Oryzias latipes: one gene and its partner. The protein of the gene in region 1 purifies or fractionates together with the protein of each later gene. This does not show direct contact. Links are inferred from orthologs where the notes say so. Each region holds a gene or a part of one and is shown on either strand. Other genes may lie near its edges.

Region 1 (10,197 bases):
TTTTTAATAAGACTTGTGGTTATTGTGATAGTTATGCTAACATGACATGAAGAAGCTAACGGCTAATTTGTCATCCAAGGCTAGTGAGCATCATGTAACGCATGATCATCATCATGCAGAGTATTTTTTAAACTAGTTCAACAGTTAATACTTATAGGAAAAAACTGTCTTGTTTCTTTGAAAATTCGATATCCCTGATGTAAAACATTACCTTTTTTTTCTTTTCTAATTTTGAATAAAATAAAAATATCGAATATATGAACACAGCTAAAGTGCATCTTTGTCATGCGCTTTGATTTTCTTGACGTGTATTTTTACATTGATTGCAGGTTTTATGAGCTAAATGGAGGACGGAGGAAGTGATGCAGCCCCTACATCCAAGAGCCAGGCAGGCTCAGCACACCTGCAGAGTACGTTTCTGATTGCTCCCTGTAAAAAGCCTTTTCCTGTGTTTAAACTGCCCACAGCAAGTAATCACATGCTTATTTTCTTTTCTCAGCTCCAAAAAATGAGGACGCCTTTGAAATTGCTATTCCATATGAGGAAAACAACTTTGATCAGCAGGGATTTTTCAATCAGAGTGATCAGAATTTTAATGGTAAAAGATCAGTACTGTAAATTACTTTTCGCTCGTGATTTCTCTTTCCTAATTGTATTGTCTTTTTGTGCCTAGAGTCACCGTCAAATCCTGGTCCATCTCCAGCCACCAACTCATACATGATGATAACTAACTTGCGAACCCAACTCCAGATCTCCCTGGAGAAAAACTCTTGGCTGCAAAAAAGAATAGAAGATTTGGAGGAGGAGAGGGACTTCCTGCGTTGCCAGCTGGACCGCTTCATCTTTTCTACAAAGAGCCAGGGACAAGAGCAGTGCCGGAGCCAGTATAGTAATGGTGAGGAGAGGGACATGACTGACTATCAGTGCTTTGACAAGAAACTTGCATGGAAATTTAATGTTACCATTTTTTGTTCTCTCTCTACAGGCTATGAATCTAGACGATTTAACTGGAAGTTAAGAAGAGAGGGATATCGCCCCAGTGGTAAAAAACAAAGAAAAAAAGAAAAGAAAAAAGTCTTACACAATATTGATTTATTTAAAAAAAAAGCTGTAACATAGATTGCTATATTTGTGTATGTGTTACATCTTAACCTGTAAACTCTCCGCTACATAACAGTTTTTCCTTTTTTCTCTATTGAACAACAAAAAACAGAGTCGTCACATTTCCCTCAACGTCAGTTTATGCCTCGAAGGTCAGGTCCTGCTGCTATGTTGTCCTCCAAAAGCCATGTTTCTAGTCCAATAAGCACTCAACTGGCCTCCATGAATGTGTTATTCAACTCTGCACAATCGCAGTCTCTTCTACAAGGCCACAGTGCTTCCGGTACCACAGCCAGTACTACAGCCAGTACTACAGCCAGTACCACAGCCAGTACCACAGCCAGTGGCAGCGCTGCGCGATCGTCTGTGAACGACATAAACGCACACAATGGTCCAGGTAATACAAAATTAAACCTATTAACTTGGTCTTTTTAGATGTTTTACAAGGATTTTCTCTTGTCAGATTCCCTCTCGTTTATTGGAGAGTCAGACGAATACCTGGAACCGGACGGCTACATGGAGGAAGAGGAATTAATACCAGGGGAAGATGTTTTGTCAGACACAATAAACCCCAGCCAGCATCAGCTGAAGATACGACAGATCTTCCGAGTTCCAAGAGAACGCCAGAGGGGTAAAAGAAAGGATCAAAAAGATTCTGCAATAAGACTCAAAGAGTTTACAGTTTTAAGTCTTAACTGTTGCAAGCTAAAAGATATATTTTTCTTCTTCAGTGAAAGATGTTGCTGGAGTGCTGTTTCGCTATAAGAAGATTCTCCTTACGTACCAGCATCTCAAGAATATGTCCAAAGCCTTCCAGATCCATGGAGTTGACCGCAACACAGTGGCTTCTACCACCCCCATTGCTGAGCTGCTTCTAGTTGCTCCAGAGAAAGTGGCTGAGGTTGGAGAGTTTGACCCATCCAAAGAGAAGCTGCTGGACTATGCCAGGCGCTGCTACATAGCTCTGGATGAAGAGACACTGAGCAGAGTGCAAGCCTTAAAAAAGAACAACCTTCTTCTGCCCATTTCCTACAGATTCAGACAATGAAAAAAAGCAAGGCAGATGTAAAGAAGAGCTCAGTAAGAAACGTGTGCTGCTGTGCACGTGTGATTATAAACTGCTGCTGTGATGCTGTTCTTTCCAAACACGGAAAATATGACCTAAAAGTTTGATCAAGTTCATCGTCACTCTACTGACACATGCCTGCTGTTAAAAAGAAGCAATGACTTGAACATACGACATTCTACATCTCCATTTTGTCTTAACTTTAAGACTCACCCAGAGGAAAATTATGTTTTTGTTGAATATAACATGTTCTAGTGGCAATTTTTTGAATGATGAAGGACATATATTGAGACAATGAAGCTTAAAATTGAATTTCTGAGTACTTCTTTATTTAGATTGTTGTGAATCAGGAGCAGACAAAAAAATGCAGTTTGAAAAGAATGTATTTGTTACATAGAAAATATGCTGGGCACTTTATTCTGATGCACTCACTTGGAGACAAATAAATTCATGTAAGTCTCCGTTTTCCTGGTCTGAGCTGGCATCAGGCTCAAAACTGTACGGCTGGATTTTTCTTTAAAGTAATATGACAACCAACAGACTTTTCTTTTGTTTTTATTTTTTTGGCTGGGACGTAAAAGAATTTCGACATTGATCATTAGTTCCACTTTAGGTATACCCAGTAATTTATGTACATTGACAAACTGGATTGCAATAGATGGCACATTGTATGCTTAAAATACATTGCATTGTGGTAATTGCATATTTTGTATAATGTGAATCTCGGCATTGACACTATTTATTACTGTTTCAGGTATTTGTAAGACTTGTGTGACTTTTGGCTGGCTGTGAACATTTGTTGTCATCGTACAAACAACTTTACAGTTAGAAAAACAGCAAAACAGATGGAATTGACTCACAAAGAACATATTTCTTCTTTCTGATGCTCCACAACACATGCATGCTTTGCAGCCTATCCAGTTCTTGCCTTAATTTGTGATTAGAAAATAAACCATATGGTATTATGAAGATTGAATGGAATATACATAAGCAGTATTAAGATATCTGGAAACAAAATAAACTTTGGCTTTTCTTCGTCAATTTGGCCTCAGTGAATCGTCCTTCACCATCTAACCCTGTCCTCTGCATCTTCCTCACTCACATCAACCACTTGGTTGTCCTCCTACAGCCACAAGCCTTCCTCTGGACCCCTTCTGGTAGCTTTAACCTTAGCATTCTTTTATCAACATGATCATTGAATGTGTCCAAACCATCTCAATCTGCTTCCTTGCATTTATCTCCAAACCATCTAGCATTAGCTGTTCATCTACTGGACTCATTCCTGACCCCATCAATTTCCTCTTTGCTACTTCCATCTCTGGCTCCTGGCAGAATCACTGTCTCTAAACTGACATGTCTCCTCTCACCACAATCTTCTACACATTTCTGCTTGTGATTGTATGATCAAAAGTCAAAGTTATTTTCGTCTGGAAATGGTGGTATATGACCCAATATGAACCATAGCAGAAACTTGAAAATGTAATAAATCGTGACAAAAACCCATTGGAAACTCTAAAATGTGACAGAGCAGAGCAGATGACCCAACAGTAAAGAACTAAAAACTAAACATTCAAAAGCCAACTGAAGACAGCTGTGGATCTTCAGCCTGAACCTGATGCTACAGACAGGAGAAAATAGGTCAAAACAGAACCTGACAAGAACTAAGTAAATGTCACAAAAAGCCCAAAACACACAATGGTATGCAAGAAAATAAACAGCCCTGTCCTGTCTGCTGATGAAGATATGGGTGCAAACTGCACACTGCAGTCCTTTGTGCAGAATTTTCTGTCACTCTGCATCCCATATAAGACAGTGATACCAGGCGGCAGCACGCCGTTCACAACAAAAAAAAAAGGCAGAAAAGTTGTTTTCCTTGCGTTTCCTTCAATAATGAAGTTTAGGTGTTTGCCTTGGAGGGAGCTACTGCTGATATTTTTTGATGAGAAGTTGGCAATAGACACATCGTCACCTGTATGTAAAAAGACAACAAAATAGGAATTGCAAAGCACTGACAGCTTATTATTTGACATTTATGAAATGTTGTTGGTAAAGGAGTGAATACGTTTAATTTACTATAACGCCAAAACGACCAACTGCCATCACAGCAGACAACACTCACACAGGATGGCAGCAAAAAATGATCAATCCATCATTACAGTTCAATGTGACGAAACACTTTGAATTATGCAAAGACATGTGACCATACAGCGTGGCAGAATGTTCTAAAAATGTTCCCTTTGGATTATTTTGATGTGGAAAAACATTAGTGGGATGAACTTTATGAAAATAAAATGTGAATGGATTTTCCATTAATTCTTGTTTACTTGTTTGTTTGTTTTTACACTTGATTATCTTGCAAGAAATAGAAGGAATCTGGAAAACTTCACCTGCACCGTTCAGTCTCCAGGTGTTTATCTCTAAGTATCACTGGTTGAATTTTTGGCTAAAGATGTCCTCGATCGAGTTTAGGCCAGTGAATCGGATCAACTCAGATCATTCAAAATGAACCAATATTAACTATGAATCATATCAGCAAACATGAATTATGATATGAATAAACACCATGAATCGTTACATCCCTACTAGAAAGACGAACTCTAAGAAATTAATATTTTGCATAACAGGGCCTGATAGAGCTCATCTAAACATGATCTGTCCTGCCTGTCTGTGTGTAAAAAATGGGCTATTGCTTGATGAACCGTAAATCATTCAAAGTATACAGCAGGATGCTGACAATTCTTCTGAATCTATCCGCAGTGCTTAGGGCTGAGTTTTGTGTTGATCTTTCTTAAGGATCTATCACTAAAATCCAGTTTGTAGTTGTTTAATTAAATTGTGTAAATGACCGTTGATTGAAACACAAAAGCTTTAAGCATAACATTTAAAATCTACAGTAAGTTTTGGATATTTAACTATATTAACATGTATTTTTAACTGAAACACGTCGTTTTTAAGTTCATACATTTAGAAATATTCTCCCAATAACCATTACAGAGAAAGTCACATGCAGGTGTTCTGTTGTTTTAATCAGAATTCAATCACAGAATTGTCTCCATGCAGCTCCAAACACAAGCCAGAACCACACGACGTTCTTCTACCGGAAACGCAGCGTTCATCAACTTCCGATGTCACGGGGTATCTGGGAGTCGGAGCAAAAAAGCGGGCACAACAAAATCTTTGCTGTTTTTGTAGACTTAAAACAGCAGAAGGCGTAAAGATTTGGATTATTGCGTCACATAAACACATATTGTGGGCCTGTGACTAAGCTGGATTCGCTTTGGGCTTCGAAAATAGTCTCATTTATTCGGATTTCGTAGCCTAGCTAGCAGCTGAGCCTCCTCGGCGGTGTGGAGCAGCAGGCCTTTCTTCTGGACTTTGCTACAAGCTAGTTAGCTGGCGTTAGCGGGCTAACTTAAGCGAGCACGTTTTTCCTTTTTCCGTATTTGTATGTGTTACATTTGAGCAAATACCACGTCACTAATGTGTGTGATACCACCTATCGTTTGATAGGTTTGTTTTTGAGCCGTGTTTTTGCTAACCGAGGTTAACTTTCCGAAGCGCTATCATTGAAGCGCTTGAATCTCAAAGTGCTCACTTTCTTGCTAGCTTAAGCTAGCCTCCGCCAACCGAACAACGCAGTCTTCGAAAGCGTAGTAGGTTTCTATCCAGAGATGTCGGATTTCGACGAATTTGAAAGACAACTGTCTGAGAACCATCAAGGTAAATGGACTAGTTACACAATTAACAATGATTGCAAAAGAGGTACATGTCATTTTTATCTCTATGGTTAGCACGTCGCGGACGTGTCTGTTTAACTGGCCTATGATCAAATAGCCTCTAAATGTACAACGCAGCTTTACAAGTTTATCGATGTTTTCCTGTAATCTGGCTTTCGGTACTGTTGTATAATGCTATTAACATTAAAATGTTTTCAATTTTGTATTATCTTGAACTCCATCGTGGTATTATTATGGCATGTCCGATTCATGTGGCGTGTAATAATATTTAAGCGGTGCTTTCTGTCATTGAATTATCATTCAGCCGCTCGTGCTCGATAGTTCCTTTTTACAAGTTCAACTGTTTATCTTTATACATTCTCTACTGCAGTTTTTGCAATAGTCCTTTCAGTTTCATATTGTGTTTATGCTACTGATACAAATTCTTGCTTCTTTAATATAGCTGGTTTCCTGTACTCTCCTCTTTTATCTTCCTTTTTTTCCCACCTATCTGCAGATGCATCGTCTTGTAGCATGATTAACATAAAAATGTACTTTTAAGAGAAATAACCTCATTTATGCACATTTTCCTTCTACTTGATTACTACTTGATTTATCTTTTCACTTTGTGTTCATACCTGTAAGACCATTTATGAAAATTAAAATTAAACATCGAGAACATGTCTAAATTCAGCTCGCTTTAATTTGCTTTTATGAACAATATTTCTGGGGTTATGTTTTTTAAGAAGATTTTTGTTTTAATGAAAAACACTTTATACTTTTATACTTCATAGTTACTGAGCACCGCTCTTTTGCCACAGAAAGGGACAAAGAAAACCGGCACCATCGTCGTTCTTCATCCCGCAGCCGCAGCAGAGAGAGGAAGAAGAGGAGCAGGGATGGCGGGGAAAGACGCAGCAGGGACCGCCGTGGGGACAGTAAGGAGCGGAGACACCGGCGCAAGTCAGTACATCTACACCAATCCTCCTGTTTAAAAACAAGCTGTTATGTGTAAAATCTCTTATCAACTGTCCAGCAATAACATGGCAACGTTAAGTCTCTTTATTAACTTTATTGTAATGTCTGCAGTCTACATGCATCATTACATTGTTCACACAAATGCACCAGTTATGTATGTTTGTTCTGATGAGCTTTTGATTTCATTTGATTTATTCGTTTTTTTTTCCCTACTTCTTTTGAAATTAGAAGAGAATTCTCACTTGTTTGTTTTGAAGTGCATTGATATTCAAGTGTGACTGGAAATGCAGTGTTTTTTATTTTATTTATGAATCATAACTCAAAAAGTTTGTTTGATTCATATAAGAAATCTAAATCTCTTCCTCCAATTTGTCATTTCAGCTCGCCACCCGCCTACCCTCAAGAAAATACTGCAAGGTAACAGAAAACTTAACACAAAGCTGGCAGTTGCAGAAACTGTACATTGACACTCCTATCACTTTAAAGACAATTTACACATGTTCAAGTAATTTGTTTTTGGGTATTGTCCATTTTTCTGTCTTTTTTGTCACTTTTACTATGTTGAAATCGATGCAACCTTCTTTAAAAAAAAGTTCATTTTCTCCTAATGTTTATTTTTTTTTCTTCCCTCTTACAGCCGATCTCCCCATCGTGAAAAGAAGAAGAAGATCAAGAAGTATTGGGATGTTCCTCCTCCTGGTTTTGAGCATATCACTCCCATGCAGTACAAAGCCATGCAAGGTAACTCTTATCTGTTTCCAGTGTATTTAATTCACAAATGTGTACACATAACATGCTAAAGGCCTGTTCACACCGGGACGAATTTCGCCGGCGATTTTCGCCGACGTTTAACGCCTCGTGACTAAACAAAGGGCACGAAAAAACGTGCACGCGTTAAAGCGTAAAAAAAAAAACGCCTCGGGTTCGTTTTTTTTTCGACGCGACGCGTCGCGTCGAAATCTACTCGACCAATGAGAATGGCACTTTTGCTCACGTGTCTGGAGCTTCTGAAGTTACAGTAAAACACAACTTGGGGGCGCTCAAACACAAAACTGCCTTGCTGAGCACACATACCAGCGAAGAAGATAGACGCCAAGTAGCGTCTACACAGCCGCGAAGCAATAATGACGGACATTCTAAAATATCCCCGAACCAAGCACCAGTTGGAGCTACTGGTGCTTGAAATATTCATGTTTTCTTTGTTTGATTCTGACAAGCGTGTAAATACTTGCTCTCTTCTTCTGAGTGAAAAGCGACTTTAAGAAGCGTAAAGTTGCGCAGCGCCACCTTGTGTACAGGAGTATTTCTGTTTTACATTAAGCGCCATCTAATGTCAGGGAATGAAATTGCATGTTCACTCCACTCATCGTCAGCGAAAATCGCCTGGGTGTGAACACAAAAAACGTGGCGAAAAACGCTGGCGAATAACGCCTGGCGAATATTCGTCCCGGTGTGTACGGGCCTTAAAGTGTGTCATCTCTGTGCAGCCGCAGGCCAGATTCCAGCCACAGCTCTCCTGCCAACCATGACTCCAGATGGACTGGCTGTTACTCCCACTCCTGTGCCTGTAGTGGGGAGCCAGATGACCCGGCAGGCCCGCCGGCTTTATGTGGGTAACATCCCCTTTGGTATCACAGAGGTAAGCCATGGAAAAAATAGCGGAATGTTTCCAAACTAAATTCACATTCAAACCAAAAATGAGTGTTTAAATCTTATCTCTCTCTGTTTAGGAGTCCATGATGGATTTCTTCAATGCTCAAATGCGCTTGGGTGGTCTCACCCAAGCCCCTGGCAACCCTGTTCTTGCAGTACAGATCAACCAGGATAAGAATTTTGCCTTTCTTGAGGTTAGAAATGAGCCCTTGATACTTTCAACTATGCCTCTACACACTCTTTTAATTGCACGCTTGCGTATCTCATTGACGTTGGTTTCTTTGCAGTTTCGTTCAGTTGATGAAACTACACAGGCAATGGCCTTTGATGGCATCATCTTTCAAGGCCAGAGTCTGAAAATCCGTCGTCCACACGATTACCAGCCCTTGCCTGGCATGAGCGAGAACCCCAGTGTCTATGTGCCTGGTACACAGACAATTAATGGTTTTTAACTCTAAATTTTTGTGGCAAAATTTCAAAATTATCACAAAGTTACTCCTTGAGAGTTTACTTTTTGTGAATTTTGATTGCCCTTGTTTTTGCTATTATGGATCGTCTAGGTGTGGTGTCGACTGTGGTACCAGACTCGGCTCATAAGCTCTTCATTGGGGGTTTGCCCAACTACCTGAATGATGACCAGGTCGGTGTGTCTCATTTTTGGAAGAAACAGTTCTTACACTAGTTTTTTTTAAAAAAATAATGGTATTAATAGAAGGATTGTTGCTTTTCTTAGCTGTAATGTAAAAGTAAATAGTTTGTCTAAAATGTTGGTGTATTGTGTTTTAGGTGAAGGAGCTGTTGACATCATTCGGGCCTCTGAAGGCCTTCAATCTGGTAAAAGACAGCGCCACAGGCCTCTCCAAAGGATACGCTTTTTGCGAATACGTTGACGTCAACTTGAATGACCAGGTAGAAAGTCTCCACAGAAAATTGTCCCCTCGCTTGCTCTGAATTGCCCGCTTAAGCTCTGATGTTGTTGTAGGCTATTGCTGGCCTGAATGGCATGCAGCTTGGAGACAAGAAGCTGCTGGTGCAGAGAGCCAGTGTGGGATCCAAGAACGCTACTCTGGTGAGGATCCAGCTGCTCTGCCGAGCAGATTTTTTTAACTTTAACAGTTTTTTACTGCTTATTTTAATATTTTTTTAACGTGTTACCTGAATGAACATCAAATATATTTCAGCGTTTTCTTTGTTTTAAATTAAATCCAACATTTCACGTAAACCTTTGCTTCGTATTTCAGACAAGTATAAACCAGACCCCAGTGACGCTGCAGGTACCAGGTCTGAACAGCTCCGTGACTCAGATGGGGGGCCTCCCCACTGAGGTGCTATGTCTGATGAACATGGTGGCCCCTGAAGAGCTCCTGGACGATGAGGAGTATGAGGAGATCGTGGAAGACGTGAGGGAGGAGTGTGGCAAGTATGGCCAGGTGAAGAGCATTGAGATCCCCCGTCCTGTGGACGGCCTGGAAGTTCCTGGAACCGGCAAGGTAAGCAGTCGCTCAAAAGAAACATCTTTGAAACAGTCGTGTGCCCCCATCTTCACATTTCTTTTGTTTCTATTGTTTTGACAGATCTTTGTGGAATTCACGTCGGTTTTCGACGCCCAAAAGGCCATGCAGGGGCTCACAGGGAGGAAGTTTGCCAATAGGGTGGTGGTGACCAAATACTGCGATCCAGATG
Region 2 (10,471 bases), on another chromosome or scaffold:
TTTTGAAGAATGTATTGAAAGGTTAATCCCATGTCCTCACTAGAGACCAACTTCTAACATGTTTGTGTTGCTGACCATGACGCATTAAGTCACTGCTGTCTCCTTACCTCTCATCCACTTCTTTGGTTCCATTAACAAATCCTCACCTCATTCATCGGCACACCCGTTGTTCATCCATCGCATTTTCTCCTCATCATCATCCATCTTCCAATCAGCCAAGTCATCTTTCAGTGTGTGTGAGTATCTGTCTTCGATGTGTTTTTTAAAGTCCCTCTCCACTCATTTGATCTATTTTAAAAGCATTCCCAGTGGTCTTTTAGTTATGATTATGATGTTTTTAGCCAAAAAAGAAAAGAAAAGATGGTAATTTTCTATGTAGGACATAGTTTCTTCAGAGCGGGAGGATTTCATTAGAAATAGAGTTGTGGGCGGGACCATTGATGCAGAGCAACCCTGCCCCCCCTTCCCACAAACAGGCAGCTTGTGGCCTTTTTCTTACTTTATTTTTTCATCTGCTTCGGATTCAAAACGATTTGAAAAAATAAATACTCAGCTATGAAATTTTTAAGCTTCATTTTCTTTATACATGTCCTTCATCATTAGAAAAATGCCCCGAGAACATGTTAATACCACCAAAAAAAAACAGGATTTTCTCTGGAGTCGGTCTTCAAGGAAGAGCAGTGTTTTTGTAAAAATTCCCTTTTTCATTTGTTGATTGAGTTGTTGAAGCCTTCAAACACATTGAAGCTTTGCACATCCGATTACATAAGGCTTTTAGAGGAAGCAGATGCAGCTGCCAAAAGCTTCAGAAATGACTTTTCTTGAAGCGTCTGAATTCTAGATTTCCGGGGTTTATGCATTTTCTCAATGCCTCTTCTTCTACCACATTTCAGAAACATCCATGTTAGGCTGACTGATTATCCTAAAATGATGTATACAGCTGATTTTGTTCATTTGTGATGGATAACTCCACCCTGCCTCTTCACTAATGACATTTGGAAAAGGCTCCAGCCCCACCTTGACCTTGAAAAAGTGAAGAAAATGGGTGGTTAAATGACAATTAAGCTGTTAAACAAAACACCATAAATCACAGCCAGACATCTTACATTTTAATGAGCCATTATATCTTTCCTGCCAAATTCCAGCCCCATTATTTCACCTGTAAACACACACCACATTCACTCTTGTTTGGAACATGCTGCAAGCTAAGTACCAATTAATAGCTTGAGTGTTAGCTTTTAGACACCAGCTCTCATTCTCCTGTCAGCCACAAACAAATAGCTTCACCAACATTTTGACTTTCTTCAATATTCCAACCCAAAGATGTGACCCTGTCTGTTTCTCCATTAGCCTATGTTCATAAGAAAAAAGTGGACATCCTGCAGCCATGTGACACTGAGTACCCCAGCTTCATTTATGAGCCGTCAGTCAAAGAGACCAACAGCATTATCAAGTGTGGACGATGCCAGAAGTAAGCACACACTTGTGTACACTTTATGAACATCAAAAAAGTTAAATGGCCCTCTGCAAGCCGCATTAAATTATATTTTTAAAACACATTTTCAGTGCCTCTGCTTTATTTGAGCAGTGTTTGTTTGTTTGAATGTTTTATCAAGAGAAAGGTAAGTGTTGGGTTATTGAGAAATTGGGAGAATGGGAGACAGAGTAGTAGGTAAATTTTAAGGAGCAGAAAAAAAGAGAAAATAACTGGATTCAAATGGAAGTGGATAGGAAAAGCATACTGGTCATAAATATTGTGTTGAGTATGACCGCCCTCTTGTGGAAAAATATGGTATTTCAGTCATCATTGACCCTTAAGTCTAAAGACACGCACAATAAAGTTTATTTATTCTATGCTGTTTAAGAGCACTTATTCTGTTTGTGTCAGAATGTTTGTAGTGCAACAGATCCCAGAGAGCAACCTGTTGATGTTGGTTGTGCAAGCAGACTGTGACTGCTCCAGGCAGTACCCGCCCATAACCCTGGAGCCCAAAGAAGTCAAATATATCCTTTGATTTGGGTATCTAATATACATTATGAAAAATCTAAATACATTTTTAAAAATCAATTGATCTCAGGAAGAATATGGATTTTTCTTACATCCTCTACGTTTTTACTATGACCCAAAAATGTGTATTATATAATGCCCAATTCTAGACGCTATTGGTTTTTTGTTCCCCTTGACCCTGTTCAACATAATGCATCAGTGAAGTGTGACAGAATGAGGTCTCAGAAGATTCGCAGACGCCCTGAGTCCTGTCATTCTTATCATCCGCAGGTAAGCTTTCCACTCGTTATATCCTCGTGCTTATCTTTTTATTTTTGTCTATATGTTATTTGTAAAGTATTAAATAGCAACTTGTTGATTTGAGTAATAACCTGCAATAAGTTCTAATCAAATTGTGTCTCTGCTTGGGTCCTGCAGGAGAATGCAGACGACTGTGGAGGGGCATCTGTCATTTCACTGTCATATGTCCTCCTCCTGCTATGTCTTTCCATTGCTGGATCAATTTCCTGATGATGGACAACTTTCTTACAACGTTTTTAAGTCTTCTTGCTCTCATTAAAAAAAAGGAAAAAAGTCTTGGACTTCTGAAGCATTATATTTTGTAAGTTTAAGAATGACAACCGAGTAAAGCAAGTTAATGGATTGCTGTTGCCATGGACACTTTCCAGCAAACTCACTCCTGCACGCCTTTGAGTCACAGATTGAAAATGGACTGAAAAGATGAAGGTTACAGCATCTGTTTTTAAAAGGAATGGTGAGTCACAAGTTGCAGCATAAGTAATTAGAGCAAGAGTGCAACACATCTCCAGTTGTCCGTCTCCATCTTCCTCTGATCTGAAGATCACAGGCAAGGCCTAGAGCGCATTTGCAAATATGCACTTCAGCCTTCAAGATCCACATTACTGCATCTGTTTTTGTTATATGTTGCATTTGAAAAAATAGTTAGCGTGAAGAGAAACTTGAGTTGGTAAATTGTATCACAGGGCATTTTTTAAAGGGGTTTGATGAATCAACCAAAGCAGACTAGATGAAGGCCCAGTCAGAAATGTCTTATATGAGTGGTATCAGAAATATTTAAGTTAAAAGTTGGAAGGGTCATACTTTTATCCCTAATTTTTACATGTTTTAAGACTAATTACATTTTACCTGCCACAATTTTAAAACGTTTTTCTGCCTTTTTTTGTCTTGTGCACTTTCACCATGTAATTAAATTGTTCTTGAAGTTAAAGCAAAAAAAAGTTTTTCTTTTGCATAACATTTTGCCTCAGGTTTTTTTTTAAGTATCTGTAATGCTCTGCTGAAAAAAATAAGTAAACAACTTTAAAAGAAAAAAGAATCACAATGGTATCTATCTAATGATAATAACATTTGTTAATGTTGATTTATTTACCAATAAATTACAATGTATTTTTATATTGATTTAACTGAACGCTTCTTTTTTTCAAACTTCTTTTTTTCTTCCATTTTTGCATGTTAAAAAGATTTACTTCTAATATATTTGTTACCTTTTTTATATTCTTTTTAACTAAAACATTTAAAATGGTCTGACTGAAATTATTATTTTTGTTGTTGTTGTCTTTGGTTGTGTTATTGACAGAGGTAAAATCTAATATATATGAAATGTTTATGATTTTTTTTAGGAGGAGCTAAAACTTGGAATGTGATTTTGTTCTTTTGTTCTGTTTTTTTCCTTTGTAAAACAAACCTGTAAATTGTTCTTATGAAAGTATTACATGGATTAAAGCCATTATTTATAAAATAAAAGATCCACAAAGTTGTTTTTATTACATTTACTTTGACTGTGTGTCATTTCTGTTTGTCTCCTTTTATTCACCTATTATTTATAAACTTATAGTTTCATATAAATGAGCAGTAAATTTATAAAGATATAGTATGATAGCAGTGGTTGTTTCAACAAATTGGATTGTGAATGACAGATGATTTCAAAAAATAAAACTTTATTTTCCAATAAAGTTTTACAAAATTACTTTTTAAGGTAAAATCCTATGTGTTATAGTTATTATTGTATCCTTTACATCAGAGTAAGTATTCAAATGTTGATCAAAAGCCAGATTTAAATTTATTTATATGACATTATTGATAAAATGTCTAATATAGTGTAAAATGTGAGTCTACAAATAATACACCAAAATAGAATGTTTTGTGTCTTGTCAATGTACTTAAAATATTCATTCATTCATTAATTCATTTTCTTAACCGTTTATTCCCTTTCGGGGTCACGGGGCTGCTGGAGCCTATCCCAGCCACTTGGGCGTCTTAAAATATTTATATTTTTAATTTGAAAAAAATATTATAGTATAATTACAGCAATACCTAATACACAGGAAACTATATAGTTGGAGATCATGTTTCACTCTTCTCTTTACACATAACTTTGCTTTTTATTTTCACTTTTAACTTTGTTGTCAAGAATTGTTACAATTTTTATTAAAAGACCATTTCTTCCAGCGATTTGTGTCAAATTTGCTGAAATTTTCAATCAACAAAACAGTAATGGCAGGTGCACAGCTGTACGTAGAAAAAAGCGTGATCTATTCTATCTATTTGAGTTCTTTTAGAAATTGCATTTCCATTGTTGTGAAAATCATTTATTAATAAATAAATAGATATTGAATTCCTCTTTTAAATGCGTAATTACAAAATACATAACAGAATAATTTATATTTTTTATAGATGTCGTATTCAGTAGTATGAATGTTTAAAGTGAAATGCAGATGATCAATGAATCCGTCATTCCCAGCAGAGCAGGCTGTAGTTAGTGAATACGACCAGCAGGGGCGCTGATGCATCTCCCGGAGTTATTGTTTGTAGCTCCGATCCTCTGCACCGCCAGGCGGACGGAGGCACGAAGCAGAGGAAAATGGCGGACGGTGTGGATCATATCGACATCTACGCCGACGTAGAAGAGGAATTTAATCAGGTATTAAAATAAAATATTCTCGAGTTTGTTCAGTGCTTTGAAGTTCTTTTTCTAATTTTTGCAATGGTCTTTTCGGCGTTATAGGAAAAATAGGTGTAATTTGATGCTCGTGCTAGCTTCTCCACTAGCAATACACACACAGGCCTCTGTCAGTCAGTGTGCTGCGTTGGTTGCAGCATAGATAGCAAACTTCTGTACAATAGATCTGCATTTTTTATTCAAACAGTAGTACACATGTGGAGGTAAATGTGATGTGGGTTATTATTTAGAATATGTACATTTTTGTCCATCAGCAAAGCGTCTAGCAGCCTTTTCAGTGGAGCGCGCGTATAGGCCGCGCAGTGTGTGCTTTCTTTTTTTTTTTTTCTCCCGACGGAGGCTGTTAACCAAACACGCATTTCATGATAAGCTAGCTGGTGTTGGTTAACTTCACACGTTTAATTGGTTTACTGTATTGGACGTGGGTTATAGTTTGGATCAAATGTAACTTGGTGTACTTTTAAAAACGTCAAAAATAAAAACAAAAGGGGAAAACACGAGTTACACGGCTTCCATTCTGGCAGCAGGTTGGGTCATCATGCATGGTGGGTGTTTTTTTTTATTCTTGCGCGCGCGCACATTAAAAACCGCGCCCCCCTTTTTAGACCGCATACTAAAATCATAACTTACTGACATTTGTTTTGCACAGAATTTGTTATGGTATTATACTGTCGGAGCTAAACATTTAAAAATAAATGTTTTTTTTCCTTGTTTCTTATTAAAATTGTTTAGCTAAACTTAATTAAGAGCCAGTGACTTAAAAATTATTAGTCATGTTTTAGTTTTTTTTAACATTTCTTTAAGTTTACTACTCTTTTTTTCCTCATAAAGCGTGACATAAAATAAAGAGAAAAAAATGCTTTTGGAATTTAATTAATTTAAATCAATTTATTATAGTAATTTGCTTTTTCTAGTAACCATTTTTACTTTTAAATTCTGGTGTAATTTCTTTTATTTCAGCTTCTTCTTGTTGACTAACTCTCTAGCACTATTTGGTCTCCATGTTTTATTATAGCTGCAGCAATTTCCAGTAAAACAGGGAGCTAAGTAAGCGTCTGGTGATATGCAGTAAACTTCTATAGATTAGGGGTCAACAGCATTTGTGACATAAAGTGCCATTTTGAAATTTAGAATGTAAAAAAGTTCAATATGTCTAGAAATGTATTTAATTCCCAACAGCAGGCATTTTGGCATTACCTCAAAGACGTTCTTTCATAACAATATTGCACAAGGAAAATAGGCCAAACTTAAAAAGTGAACTTAAATAACTTAAAACTATGTTAGTTTGAAACAAAAAGTACAGCATTTGTGGTACATCATACTGTATACGTCATGTAAATTAAATCTATCATGGTGTTTTTATTGCATGTAAAAGTAAATGTTTTACTTTGACCTTAGAATGCTAATTATAGTAATATAAATTTTCCACAATTGGACATTCTTCATTTTTTTTCACCCCCAGTAAATGGAGTGGCGATCAGCTGTACTATTCATTTTAAAACTTTTTCTCATTTCACATTTACATTTGTCAGAACATAAAAAAGTCAGGGTATAATCTGACCTTATTTGGTATTATCAACAAACTGAGCTTATAACTTCATAAATGGCAGTCGCTGTGACATCCTAAATATAATTAAAAAACCGGCTGTGCATTCATTAACCTTTAGCGCGTTTCCCGCTTATGCATGCGCTCATCGTATTGCCCCACCTGTCATCTCACCGCCAACAGCTTCAAAACACAGGGTCATTACGTCACCGTGGCAAACTTGTTTTTTTTGCCTGCAGTGCACAATCATTTAAATCACCCGTTCATAAAGGCAGAAAGTAACGTACATTGTGTGAAACTAGGCCTGCACAATATATCGCAAATTTATCGTTATCGCGACATTAAGCTGTGCAATATGCATACCACAAAAGACGGCGAAAATCGCAATAAATGGTTACCTTAAATGTGCTAAAACAATCTCGTGGCAGCTTGAAATATTGAACAAATGAAATAAATCCCTTTATGCATTTAACCAATCGGAAGGACCCATTTACGTTGTTGATCAATCAGATGAGCCCTTTTATGTTTGATGTTTGCCTCCTATGTCGACAAGGGTCATTTGGAGTATAATTTTTAAACTGTTGCAGTGAAATGGAAATTATGTTTTTGGTTGTTTTGCTGTTTGTTTATATACCGCGAATCATATCGTTATCGCAATATTAATCACCAATATCGCATATCGCGAGTTTTCCTCATATCGTGCAGCCCTATGTGAAACTATAAAAGTGGTTGGGGTCACAGTAACAGCGCTGCTTGAATGGACCATTTCCTTTTGGCCCCATAGGGGTGACAAAAGCTCATTGTGAGAAGAGATTGTCACTGTTTTTAATCCCGAAAGATGCAAAGAGGCGACAGATCCAAGTGGTTAATGTTGTCACAGCCACTGTCTTTCCCTCTGCGTCCCAGTTGTGGCAAACTGCCAATTCGATAAGCAACTTACCTTAGATTAGACAGATACATCTGTTTCAATCGTAAGAAAATAAATCGATTCGTTGATTAATCGTTACACCCCTGTACATTACTAAAAATAATATCCATCCATAATATCTTTCACTTAAAAGATGCATTTCTACATCCCCAGTTTTTATAAACGTTGAGCCACAGTTTCAGGTTCTTGTGGAATTGAACCCCACATGTTTTGCTTTAACTGTGTTAACTCATTTTTCTTTTAAAGGAATCGGAGTATCCAGTTCACGAGCAGATTGACTTGTACGATGATGTGATATCCCCATCTGCCAATAATGGAGATGCTCCAGAAGACAGGGACTACATGGATTCAATGCCTCCATCTGGCGGTTCTGACGGAGGGAAGAGTAATCCACCCAATGTGGTGTACACCTATACAGGCAAACGGATTGCTTTGTACATCGGCAACCTTACATGGGTGGGTTTCAACCATTCAAATTAAATAATTAGAAGTTTCATTGTCAATTTCGACTAAATGCTAAGAAAGTAGTATTGATAATTTGTCTCTTTTTATTATTGTTCTTTTTTTACAGTGGACAACAGATGAAGACCTGACTGAAGCCATTCGTTCAGTAGGCATTACAGATGTGCTGGAGATAAAGTTCTTTGAAAACAGGGCTAATGGCCAGTCAAAAGGGTGAGGACAGTAGTTTTTGTTTGTGTTTAACTCTTTACACCGAGGCTTTAGCTTCAATGTTAACGTTCTTTGGATTACCGTGACTCTTCAACTGTGGAAAAAGCAGCCTTACGCTGATGTGCAACACTTTACATTAATGATGTGTTGCATATCGGTGCAAATCCTCTATGAAAACCTGCTTTTCTCCAGATCAGAATCAGCCGATTCGGTTTGATCACGTAAATGGCCAAAGAGTTACGGTATGTCAAAGAGAGCGTGTGTTATTTATGTGTTGACGTCAGAGTATTTTTTATTTTATTATACATTCATATGTATAGGAATCCATGTCATGTGCAATTTATTGTATGCATTTTGTTTAAACCGCGCAGAGTTTATTCATTTTCAGAGTTGTGACGAGACTCAAGACAATTTGAACAGAAGTAATTAAAGTTGTGCCACCACAAAACCCTTAAGGTGATGCTTACTGTCCACCGTACCATTATATAGTTTGATGATTTCCGGTTTGAGCTTACACCAGGGGTGCCCACACTTTTTTGGCATGCGAGTTACTTTTGAGACAAGCTCCAAAAGATCTACCTAGATGGATGGATGGATGAATGTAAATAAAGTATTTTCTGTCTATTCAAAAGCTACACCGTAAGAGTACACAAATCTTTGTGAGGAGATAGCTCTGTTGTGTGTATTAATATTATTTTTATAGTAATACACAATTTGAACAGATAAGGCGGTTTATTATGTAAACAGATAGCAGCGACGATCGCGTTTCATGCTATGCTGACACTGTGTAATAGCAGGACATTTCCAAAGCGCAGCAGGCTTACTGACGGCTGAGCGAAGGGCGGCCCCTGCTCTGTGGGCAGGGCTATTGAAGTGCGTGCTTGTACACACTGCTGCCTGAGTTGGCGTTTCTGTCTCGCTTTCAATGGAGGACGCATGCATGCCTGCCCAGCCTCAATAAACGGTCCTGCAGGCGCAGAATGTCCTCCGCCTGGGACCTGGCACACAGCGGGGCTGGTAGCGTCTTTCTGATGGCACAAAGCGTCTGCGCTTAGTGTATTCAACCTTGCATTTGCAATGACGTATGGATCAGAGGATGCCTGCGTGGATGTTGTTTGTGTGAAAAAACTTCACTGTGAGGATGATGATTCAAATGTGGAACAACTACAAAACCTGGTGGCCTCATGAGTTCAACATTTTATAACTAGGATGTTTTTGCTTTGCATACTTATGACAGGGTGTCTTGTGCTGGTTTCCTTCAGGTTTGCTCTTGTGTGTGTTGGTTCTGAGGGATCATCCAGGAAACTGATGGACCTGTTGTCCAAGAGAGAGCTTCATGGTCAGAATCCTATAGTCACACCGTGCAATAAACAATCCCTAAGCCAGTTTGAGATGCAGTCACGCAAAAGTAAGTATTTCCAGTTTCATCTTACGATTTTCACAAATCTATTTAATTTGCTACAAATGAAAATATATTGCAACTTGATGAATTTTGAGCCATTTGAAACCTTTTATTTATTTATTTAGGTACTCAATCTGGTCAGATGTCAGGGGAAGGTAAAGCTGGTCCCCCTGGTTCAGGCCATCGCTCCGGATTCTCAATGGGCAACAGAGGTCGAGGCAGGTATCCTGGTCCACCTGGTTCTGGAGTAGATCGTTTCCCTCCTGGCCCCATAGGCCCTGGAGGCCCACCACCCCACTTTCCTGGTTAGTTTCTATTAGTGAGAAATCTGTGCTGGTTTGAACTGAAGAGGGAACTATTATAGGAGTTTTATGTGTCTGCATATAAATGGGAATGATCTTTACTTTTGTCTTTTTTGCTTTGCTCTCTACTGTTGTTTTCATAGGTGGAATGCAGGGTCTTCCACGTCCTCCCCCTGGTCCTCCTGGCCCCCCTGGTCCCGTAGGACCACCCCCTCCTGGCCAGGGTCTACCCCCACCCCTCGCAGGTCCTCCTAATCGTGGAGACAGACCTCCTCCTCCTCCTGTTCTCTTCCCTGGCCAGTTTGGTCAGCCTCCACTGGGACCTCTTCCCCCAGGCCCTCCTCCTCCAGGGTATGGTCCTCCTCCTGGCCCCCCACCTCCTCAGCAAGGCCCACCTCCTCCGGGACCCTTTCCTCCTCGCCCTCCGGGCCCTATTGGACCACCATTGGCTTTGGCCCCACCTCCACATTTGCCGGGCCCCCCACCAGGTGCTCCTCCACCTGCGCCTCATGTGAACCCTGCTTTCTTCCCCCCACCTGGCAACAACAGCTTGCCCCCTAACGACAGCCGAGGGCCACCCGGGCCAAACGACCCTTATGGACGCCCACCACCATACGAGAGAGACTACGGTCC

The links.
Region 2: the proteins of u2af2 (region 1) and cpsf6 fractionate together in Homo sapiens (co-fractionation; 3 studies listed by BioGRID, with this or other methods). This does not show direct contact. The link is inferred for Oryzias latipes from reciprocal best matches to the Homo sapiens genes U2AF2 and CPSF6.

Annotation. Positions count from the first base shown.
Region 1 is NC_019874.2:19,811,232-19,821,428, reverse strand, and holds the start of u2af2 (splicing factor U2AF 65 kDa subunit), read left to right. Parts: upstream 1-5,263; 5' UTR 5,264-5,838; coding exon 5,839-5,887; intron 5,888-6,677; coding exon 6,678-6,846; intron 6,847-7,242; coding exon 7,243-7,278; intron 7,279-7,498; coding exon 7,499-7,602; intron 7,603-8,348; coding exon 8,349-8,500; intron 8,501-8,591; coding exon 8,592-8,708; intron 8,709-8,801; coding exon 8,802-8,958; intron 8,959-9,065; coding exon 9,066-9,154; intron 9,155-9,300; coding exon 9,301-9,423; intron 9,424-9,496; coding exon 9,497-9,583; intron 9,584-9,755; coding exon 9,756-10,004; intron 10,005-10,088; coding exon 10,089-10,197. Other genes in the region: ccdc106 (coiled-coil domain-containing protein 106), read left to right, coding at 344-410, 500-598, 674-895, 986-1,042, 1,214-1,498, 1,565-1,732, 1,833-2,149. UniProt on the Homo sapiens protein: Plays a role in pre-mRNA splicing and 3'-end processing. By recruiting PRPF19 and the PRP19C/Prp19 complex/NTC/Nineteen complex to the RNA polymerase II C-terminal domain (CTD), and thereby pre-mRNA, may couple transcription to splicing.
Region 2 is NC_019881.2:14,389,279-14,399,749, reverse strand, and holds the start of cpsf6 (cleavage and polyadenylation specificity factor subunit 6), read left to right. Parts: upstream 1-4,838; 5' UTR 4,839-4,889; coding exon 4,890-4,949; intron 4,950-7,708; coding exon 7,709-7,918; intron 7,919-8,033; coding exon 8,034-8,137; intron 8,138-9,396; coding exon 9,397-9,542; intron 9,543-9,661; coding exon 9,662-9,841; intron 9,842-9,969; coding exon 9,970-10,471. UniProt on the Homo sapiens protein: Component of the cleavage factor Im (CFIm) complex that functions as an activator of the pre-mRNA 3'-end cleavage and polyadenylation processing required for the maturation of pre-mRNA into functional mRNAs.